2 linked regions of the Mus musculus genome follow. The protein of the gene in region 1 interacts with the protein of each later gene in a biochemical or structural test. Links are inferred from orthologs where the notes say so. Each region holds a gene or a part of one and is shown on either strand. Other genes may lie near its edges.

Evidence for each region.
Region 2: the proteins of Klkb1 (region 1) and Kng2 form a complex in vitro, tested with the Homo sapiens proteins (4 studies listed by BioGRID). The link is inferred for Mus musculus from reciprocal best matches to the Homo sapiens genes KLKB1 and KNG1.

The regions. Positions count from the first base shown.
Region 1 is NC_000074.6:45,274,248-45,278,068, forward strand, and holds part of Klkb1 (plasma kallikrein preproprotein), read right to left. Parts: coding exon 3,721-3,821; intron 2,838-3,720; coding exon 2,728-2,837; intron 2,166-2,727; coding exon 2,003-2,165; intron 1,908-2,002; coding exon 1,795-1,907; intron 1,330-1,794; coding exon 1,161-1,329; intron 1-1,160. UniProt on the Homo sapiens protein: Participates in the surface-dependent activation of blood coagulation. Activates, in a reciprocal reaction, coagulation factor XII/F12 after binding to negatively charged surfaces.
Region 2 is NC_000082.6:22,994,506-22,998,326, reverse strand, and holds part of Kng2 (kininogen 2 isoform 2 precursor), read left to right. Parts: intron 1-1,008; coding exon 1,009-1,116; intron 1,117-1,217; coding exon 1,218-1,304; intron 1,305-3,821. UniProt on the Homo sapiens protein: Kininogens are inhibitors of thiol proteases.

The sequences.
Region 1 (3,821 bases):
AGTTCATTCAATGAGTTTTTATGAAACTCAACTAACCAGCTGGAGCAACACTGAAAATCAGAGTTTAACACTGTACAATCCAAAGACACACTGTGACAAGAGACATCTTAATGTTTTTTTTTAAATTGTTTAAAATTATACTGTTATGTTCCTGTAAGAGCAGAAATCCTAAGGCACACATACCACACACACCAGTTTCACACCATTAAAGAATCCTCAGTCTGATTGATTGGGTTTAGGGTACCATCTGCTGGTACTACGCAGCCTGGCGATATGCACAGTGCACAGTAAGCATGATGTTGTGTGTCAGGAACAAAGGCTGCAGAGGAATCCTCAGACACAGCACAGGAGAGGGCTCTCAGAATGCCTCGGGTTTGTCATACTTTTTATTGTGGATTCATTTTTATCAGTGTCCCTTCAGGGACCCTTTACTGTTGCTAAAATCTTGGAAGACGCTCATATTCTGTTGCACTGTGTTCCTAAAGGATTACAGTTCACAGTATAAACGCTGTGGCTGGAAACACTCAAGACGTACTTAAAAATTACTTTCTGTTTATTTCAAGTAAGAGCACAGGAGTGCTTCTGTGCCTTTTGAAGAACCTTTGGGAGAATCAGGTTCAGTCTACCAACCCCAAAAACAGTTGCTCTCATTATCCGAGCCTTCATGTAGCTGTACTGATTAAAATAAGCCCCAGCAGGAATTAAAGGTATTTTGTTGCTTAAAAATCTACCTACCTTTCCTTTGAATTTTAAATTAACCACGTAAAGGATATACAGGCTGAATTTAAAATTATAATATTTTCTAGGCAAGGACTTTGAAACTTTTCTTGTCCTAAAAACAAATATCTCAGGGCCAAGGAGATGGCAGAGTGGGCAAAGGGCTTGGTTCTCAAACCTGAGGATTCAAGTTCAGATCCCCAACCCAGAACTAGGGCTAAGGATGTACCAGGAGACAGAGACAGGCAGATACCTATCTGTCTAGTCAAAAAGGTTAGCACTAGGTTCAGTGAATTACCCTATCTCAACAAATAAGATGAACAAGCAGTACAAGTAGATACCCGAGATTAACCTCTACATGCACACACACACACACACACACACACACACACACACACACACACACACACACATTGGTATAATAAGATGACCCTGAAACTTACCCATCAAAGCAATGGGCAGCTGTCAGTACCCATTGGCGACCAATGATGGACCCTCCACACAAATGGGTCTGAGATACCAGCTTCACTTGCAGGCTGACCTGCCATGGCCACTCCCCTAAAGAAGCGTTTGTTCCTCCCACAATACGTGCATTTATTTTTGTTGTACAGTCTGAAAAGTGTTGAGATGTGGCAGGATTAGACACAGATAAGCATTCTTTCCCTTTATCCAAGGAAACTGTCTTAGTTAGGGTTTCACGGCTGTGAACAGACACCATGACCAAGGACAAGTTTTAATTGGGGCTGGCTTACAGGTTTCAGAGGTTCAGTCCACTATCATCAAGGTGGGAACATGGCAGCATGCAGGCAGACTTGGTTCAGGAGGAGCTGAGAATTCTACACCTTAATCTGAAGGCTGCTAGCAGAATACTGACTTCCAGACAGCTAGGATGAGGGTCTTAAAGCCCACACCCACAGTGACACACCTACTCCAACAGGGTCACACCTTCTGATAGTGCCACTCCCATATACAAACCATAACAGAAACCATATAAACAATCCCATCACATAAGACCAAGACATTAATCACAACAGCCAAGCCAGCCATGCAGTTCCGTAACAAACGAACCTCACTCACCAGGGCTGTCCACAAGTTTACACAATCTCAGAGAATAACCGGAGCTCCCCTGCATGCCATAGGTGATCCTAGTTGGGGAGCCATCTGTGGATAACCTTAAGGAACATTTACACCTGGAAATAAATGAACAGTCTAAAATTAAACCCCCACACAGGGAGAAAACTAGAAAACAATTACCTTGCTGATCATCAAAGAAAGGTTTCCTTACCCCTCCTCCTTGCAGTCTTGGGGGAGTAAGGAGTAAATAAAAAACTGGCAGCGGATTGTCTTTGTACAAGTCTCTTGGCAGACATCTGCTCCTTGCACGAAGGTCACATTCAGTTCTTCCCCTTCAAAGTCAACTCCAGAGTAAATTTTGGAATGGCAGGGTTCTGCACCATACACAAATATCAAAGGATATATCACAAGTCAGGAAACGAGTCACATTGGCAAAGTTTCTAGAGTCGTGAGAACCATTTCATTAACTCTTAGAGGACCCCAAGATGTGCTGCACCATGTGGCTGTTAGTGTTTGTCAACTTGATACAAAATAGAGTCACCTGAAAAGATGGACCATCAGTCTGAGAATCGTCTTCCTCAGACTAACTTATAGGCATGTCTGTGGGATGTTCTTTGGATTAATGATGGATGGAAGAGGGTCCGTCTAACCAGGTCAGTGTCAATTCTGGGCAGGTAGCATGAATATATATATATATATATATATATTCACAGAAGCAAGCTAAGAAGCAACATTTCTCCATGGTCTCTGCCCAGTCCCTGCCTCTGCTTCTGCTTGAGTTTCTAGCCTGACTTCCCTCAGGAATCAGCTATGACTGGGACATGTGAACAAAACAAACTCCTTTCTCTCCCAACTTGCTTTTGGTCATAGTATTTATCAAGCAACCAAGAACCAAACCCGGACACATGCCATGTGCCACTAAGATTGAGTCATTACCAGGGCGAGTTTTTCTGCAGGTGAGGAGACTATATCCAGATATAGCGTTTTCTTGAGGAATAGGGGGACTTGGTCTTCCACTTTTAGACGTCTTAAGAAAACAAACATTTCTATTAAAAATAAATGAGAAAGAAGAAGAAGACAGCATTAGAAGCACTAGACAGACCTACCTTCCTTCCTTCCTTTCTTTCTTTCTTTCTTTCTTTCTTTCTTTCTTTCTTTCTTTCTTTCTTTCTTTCTCTTTCTCTTTCTCTCTCTCTCTCTCTCTCTCTCTCCTTCCTTCTTTCCTTCCTTCCTTCCTTCCTTCCTTCCTTCCTTCCTTCCTTCCTTCCTTCCTTCCTTCCTTCCTCTCTAAGCAACTCCATAAATGGTATTCTTCTGAGAAATTATTTTCAGTCAGTCAGACTGCAAGACTCCAAAAATATCACAGGGCTTAAATGTAAGTAGAGTCACCTCTCCCTCTGGCAAAAAATACCTGGTAGGTACAGACATCCAGAAAAGAGGACAGAGGATTAAAGTCCACCTTCTAATTAGAAAAAGGAAAAAGAGAAGGCATCAAAAGACTGTTGGTTTGGATTTATGCTACCCATGGTATTATGTCCACACACATCCTTCTGCAGGCCCCACGGCGTACATAAAGGAAATGCTGTGTAAAGATGAAGAGGTCAGACTAGACCCTAGATCTGGATAAGCAGGGCTCTGGTTTCTCACAAGATTAAAGGACAGTTTGCATGAGCAGCTGTAACCCAAGCCAATCCCAAACCTTAATGCCAGTGAGAATGCTTCCTGCTCCCTTCTGCCTCTGCCGCTGTGGTTTGACTAAATAGTAGGCTTGTTTTATGGAAGGGAAGAATTTGTTAATCTGTGAAGTAACCTGCACCTGGCTGAAAAGCATCCGGTTAAACCACAGGCTCCAGCGCTGTTAGGGCAACGAGCAAGACCCTCGCAAGGAACGGAAAGGGCTAGAAGGGGGCGCACGCCGCTCACACTCACCTCTGTGATTCTGTCTCCCATTCATTCGTGTAGAACGTGAAGAAAAGGCAGTTGGGATGGAAGGTGCAGATGGTGCGACACACAAAGGCATCGGGGGTGAT
Region 2 (3,821 bases), on another chromosome or scaffold:
GCATTGTCTTACTCCTTAGGACGGATTTGGCCATTTGGTCTTTTGTGGTTTCATATAAATTCATGTATTTTTTCTAAGCCTATGACATATGACATGGGAATTTTTATAGGTATTGCATTAATTCTGTATATTAATTGTGGTAGTACAAACATTTTCACACTATTAATTTTGCCTATCCAGGACCATGCATAATATTTCCATTGTCTAGTATCTTCTGTAATTTCCTTTGCCTATATGTAGACGTTTTACTGTAGAGAATTTTATTGTAATAGTCTTTGAATCATTTGGTTAGATATGTTCCTAACTACTTTTGAAAAATTTTTTTAGAAAGTATCTCACTATACAGTCCAGACTGACTTGAAATTCACTCTCTAGACCAGGCTGGCCATGAACTCACAAAGATCTACCTTCCTCTGCCTCCCCAGTGCTGGGATTACAGGCATGTTCCACCAACAACTGGTTTGTTTAAAGATTTAAGAGGTTACTTAATCTTAAAAATATATGAAAAGTAATAGATAATCTAAATATTTTCCTAACTGGATAATTTAAACTACACACGGATTTTCTGATTCAGTATTTAGCAGAGAGACAACAAAAAATATTTCAAGAAAATATTTTAAGTGTTTCTTCTCATACCTCAGATTGTAGTAAAATTTAAGCCCTTGAGTTACTTGGTAGGTGTGGTTTATAGCTTATGAACTTTTAAATTAGTACGTGAATATTAAAGTGAAAGGTTACCCTGTATTTCTTTTACTCAGTGAAGTAAGCTGACCCAACTAATACCCAGAAATCTTAGATATACATACAAACAAAACGTTGTATCAGATATGTGCACCTTGTAGAGAATTTTGTACTTGTAGTCACACTACAAGGACAGTGTAACTTTCTAAGATGGTCAGGAAATATTTAAAATTTCCAGATTCTAACTTTGACCACACTGAAGTAAAAAAGTGCAATTTGTTATGGAAATCCTCATTAAATATTTGTCTTGTACTATTAACTTTACAGGTGGTAGCAGGAACTAATTATGTTATTGAGTTCATAGCCAGAGAAACCAAATGTTCCAAGGAAAGTAACACAGAGCTGACAGAAGATTGTGAGATCAAGCACCTTGGAGTGAGTAGCACTGTCCCTGTGTGACACTCTAAGGTCACTTGCTCATGGGCCTCATGACTAATGCTGATTTATTTTCTCTTGTCTTCTGTTTTCATGATTAGCAAAGTCTCGACTGCAATGCTAACGTGTACATGAGACCTTGGGAGAACAAAGTCATCCCGACTGTGAAATGCCAAGCATTAGATAAGGTAGGATTGGAGTATTGTCAGCTTGGGGTCAGTTCTGTCTATTCCAAAAAGCAATATTGAACATGAATCATTACTGAAATAACTGGGGGAGGGGCTGCTCTTTTAAACCCGTAAGAAGTTGTACATATCTATGCTGATCTTGTGTTTTATGGCTGGGAAAGAAAACAGGTAACCATTCAGTCACTTAGCTCATTGTCAGCGTTCCCTGCCTGGTAGTGAGGAGAAGACCAGGGCACTATCACGAGCCACACGACTCCAAGATACACCCGAGTCCTTAGCACTACTGTGTGCTGGGTTCTGCTCTGTGCATTAAAGTACTGAAGTATTGAAGTACTGTGCACTGAAGTACTTGCATTGAAGTATTGAAGAAACATGGATTCACTCCCCTTCCATAGTTAAATGAATACCAAAATGCACTTTAAAACAGTCGTCAAGGGGTCCACACATGATTCAAATCTGAGAGGCAACACTCTGCATCGTCTTTTTAAGAATCAATGTGCCTAGGGCATCATTACTTTTTTTTTCTTTATTATGTGTTTATTTTTTTTAATTAGGTATTTTCCTCATTTACATTTCCAATGCTATCCCAAAAGTCCCCCCATACCCTCCCACCCACTCCTCTACCCACCCCCTCCACTTTTTGGCCCTGCCGTTCCCCTGTACTGGGGCATATAAAGTTTGCAAGTCCAATGGGCCTCTCTTTCCAGTGATGGCCGACTAGGCCATATTTTGATACATATGCAGCTAGAGTCAAGAGCTCCGGGGTACTGGTTAGTTCATAATGTTGTTCTACCTATAGGGTTGCAGATCCCTTTAGCTCCTTGGCTACTTTCTCTAGCTCCTCCATTGGGAGCCCTGTGATCCATCCAAAGGCTGACTGTGAGCATACACTTCTGTGTTTGCTAGGCCCCTGCATAGTCTCACAAGACACAGGTATATCTGGGTCCTTTCAGCAAAATCTTTCTAGTATATGCAATGGTGTCAGCGTTTGGAGGCTGATTATGGGATGGAACCCTGGATATGGCAGGCTCTAGAGGGTCCATCCTTTTGACACAGCTCAAAGCTTTGTCTCTGTAACTCCTTCCATGGGTGTTTTGTTCCCAATTCTAAGAAGGGGCAAAGTGTCCACACTTTGGTCTTCATTCTTCTTGAATTTCATGCGTTTAGCAAATTGTATCCTATATCTTGGGTATCCTAAGTTTCTGGGCTAATATCCACTTATCAGTGAGTACATATTGTGTGAGTTCCTTTGTGATTGGGTTACCTCACTCAGGATGATACCCTCCAGCTCCATCATTTGCCTAGGAATTTCATAAAATCCTTCTTTTTAATAGCTGAGTAGTACTCCATTGTGTAAAACCATATTTTCTGTATCCATTCCTCTGTTGAGGGGCATCTGGGTTCTTTCCAGCTTCTGGCTATTATAAATAAGGCTGCTATGAACATAGTGGAGCATGTGTCCTTCTTACCGGTTGGAACATCTTCTGGATATATGCCCAGGAGAGGTATTGCAGAATCCTCCGGTAGTACTATATCCAGTTTTCTGAGGAACCGCCAGACTGATTTCCAGAGTGGTTGTACAAGCTTGCAATCCCACCAACAATAGAGGAGTGTTCCTCTTTCTCCACATCCTTGCCAGCATCTGCTGTCACCTGAAGTTTTGATCTTATCCATTCTGACTAGTGTGAGATTGAATCTCAGGGTTGTTTTGATTTGCATTTCTCTGATGATTAAGGATGCTGAACATTTTTTCAGGTGCTTCTCAGCCATTCAGTATTCCTCGGGTGAGAATTATTTGTTTAGCTCTGAGCTCCATTTTTTAATGGGGTTATTTGATTTACTAGAGTCCACCTTCTTGAGTTCTTTATATATATATTGGATATTAGTCCCCTATATGATTTAGGATAGGTAAAGATCCTTTCCCAATCTGTTGGTGGCCTTTTTGTCTTATTGACAGTGTCTTTTGCCTTACAGAAGCTTTGCAGTTTTATGAGGTCCCATTTGTTGATTCTTGATCTTATAGCACAAGCCATTACTGTTCTATTCAGGAATTTTTCTCCTGTGCCCATATTTTCGAGGGTTTTCCCTACTTTCTCCTCAGTAAGTTTCAGTGTCTCTGGTTTTATGTGGAGTTCCTTAAAACACTTAGATTTGACCTTAGTCCAAGGAGATAGGAATGGATCAATTCGCATTCTTCTACATGATAACCACCAGTTATGCCAGCACCATTTATTGAAGATGCTGTCTCTTTTCCATCGGATGGTTTTTGCTCCCTTGTCAAAGATCAAGTGACCATAGGTGTGTGGATTCATTTCTGGGTCTTCAATTCTATTCCATTGGTCTACTTGTCTGTTGCTATACCAGTATCATGCAGTTTTTTATCACAATTGCTCTGTACTACAGCTTTAGGTCAGGCATGGTGATTCCACCAGAGGTTCTTTTATCCTTGAGAAGAGTTTTTGCTATCCTAGATTTTTTGTTATTCCAGATGAATTTGCAGATTCCCCTTTCTAACTC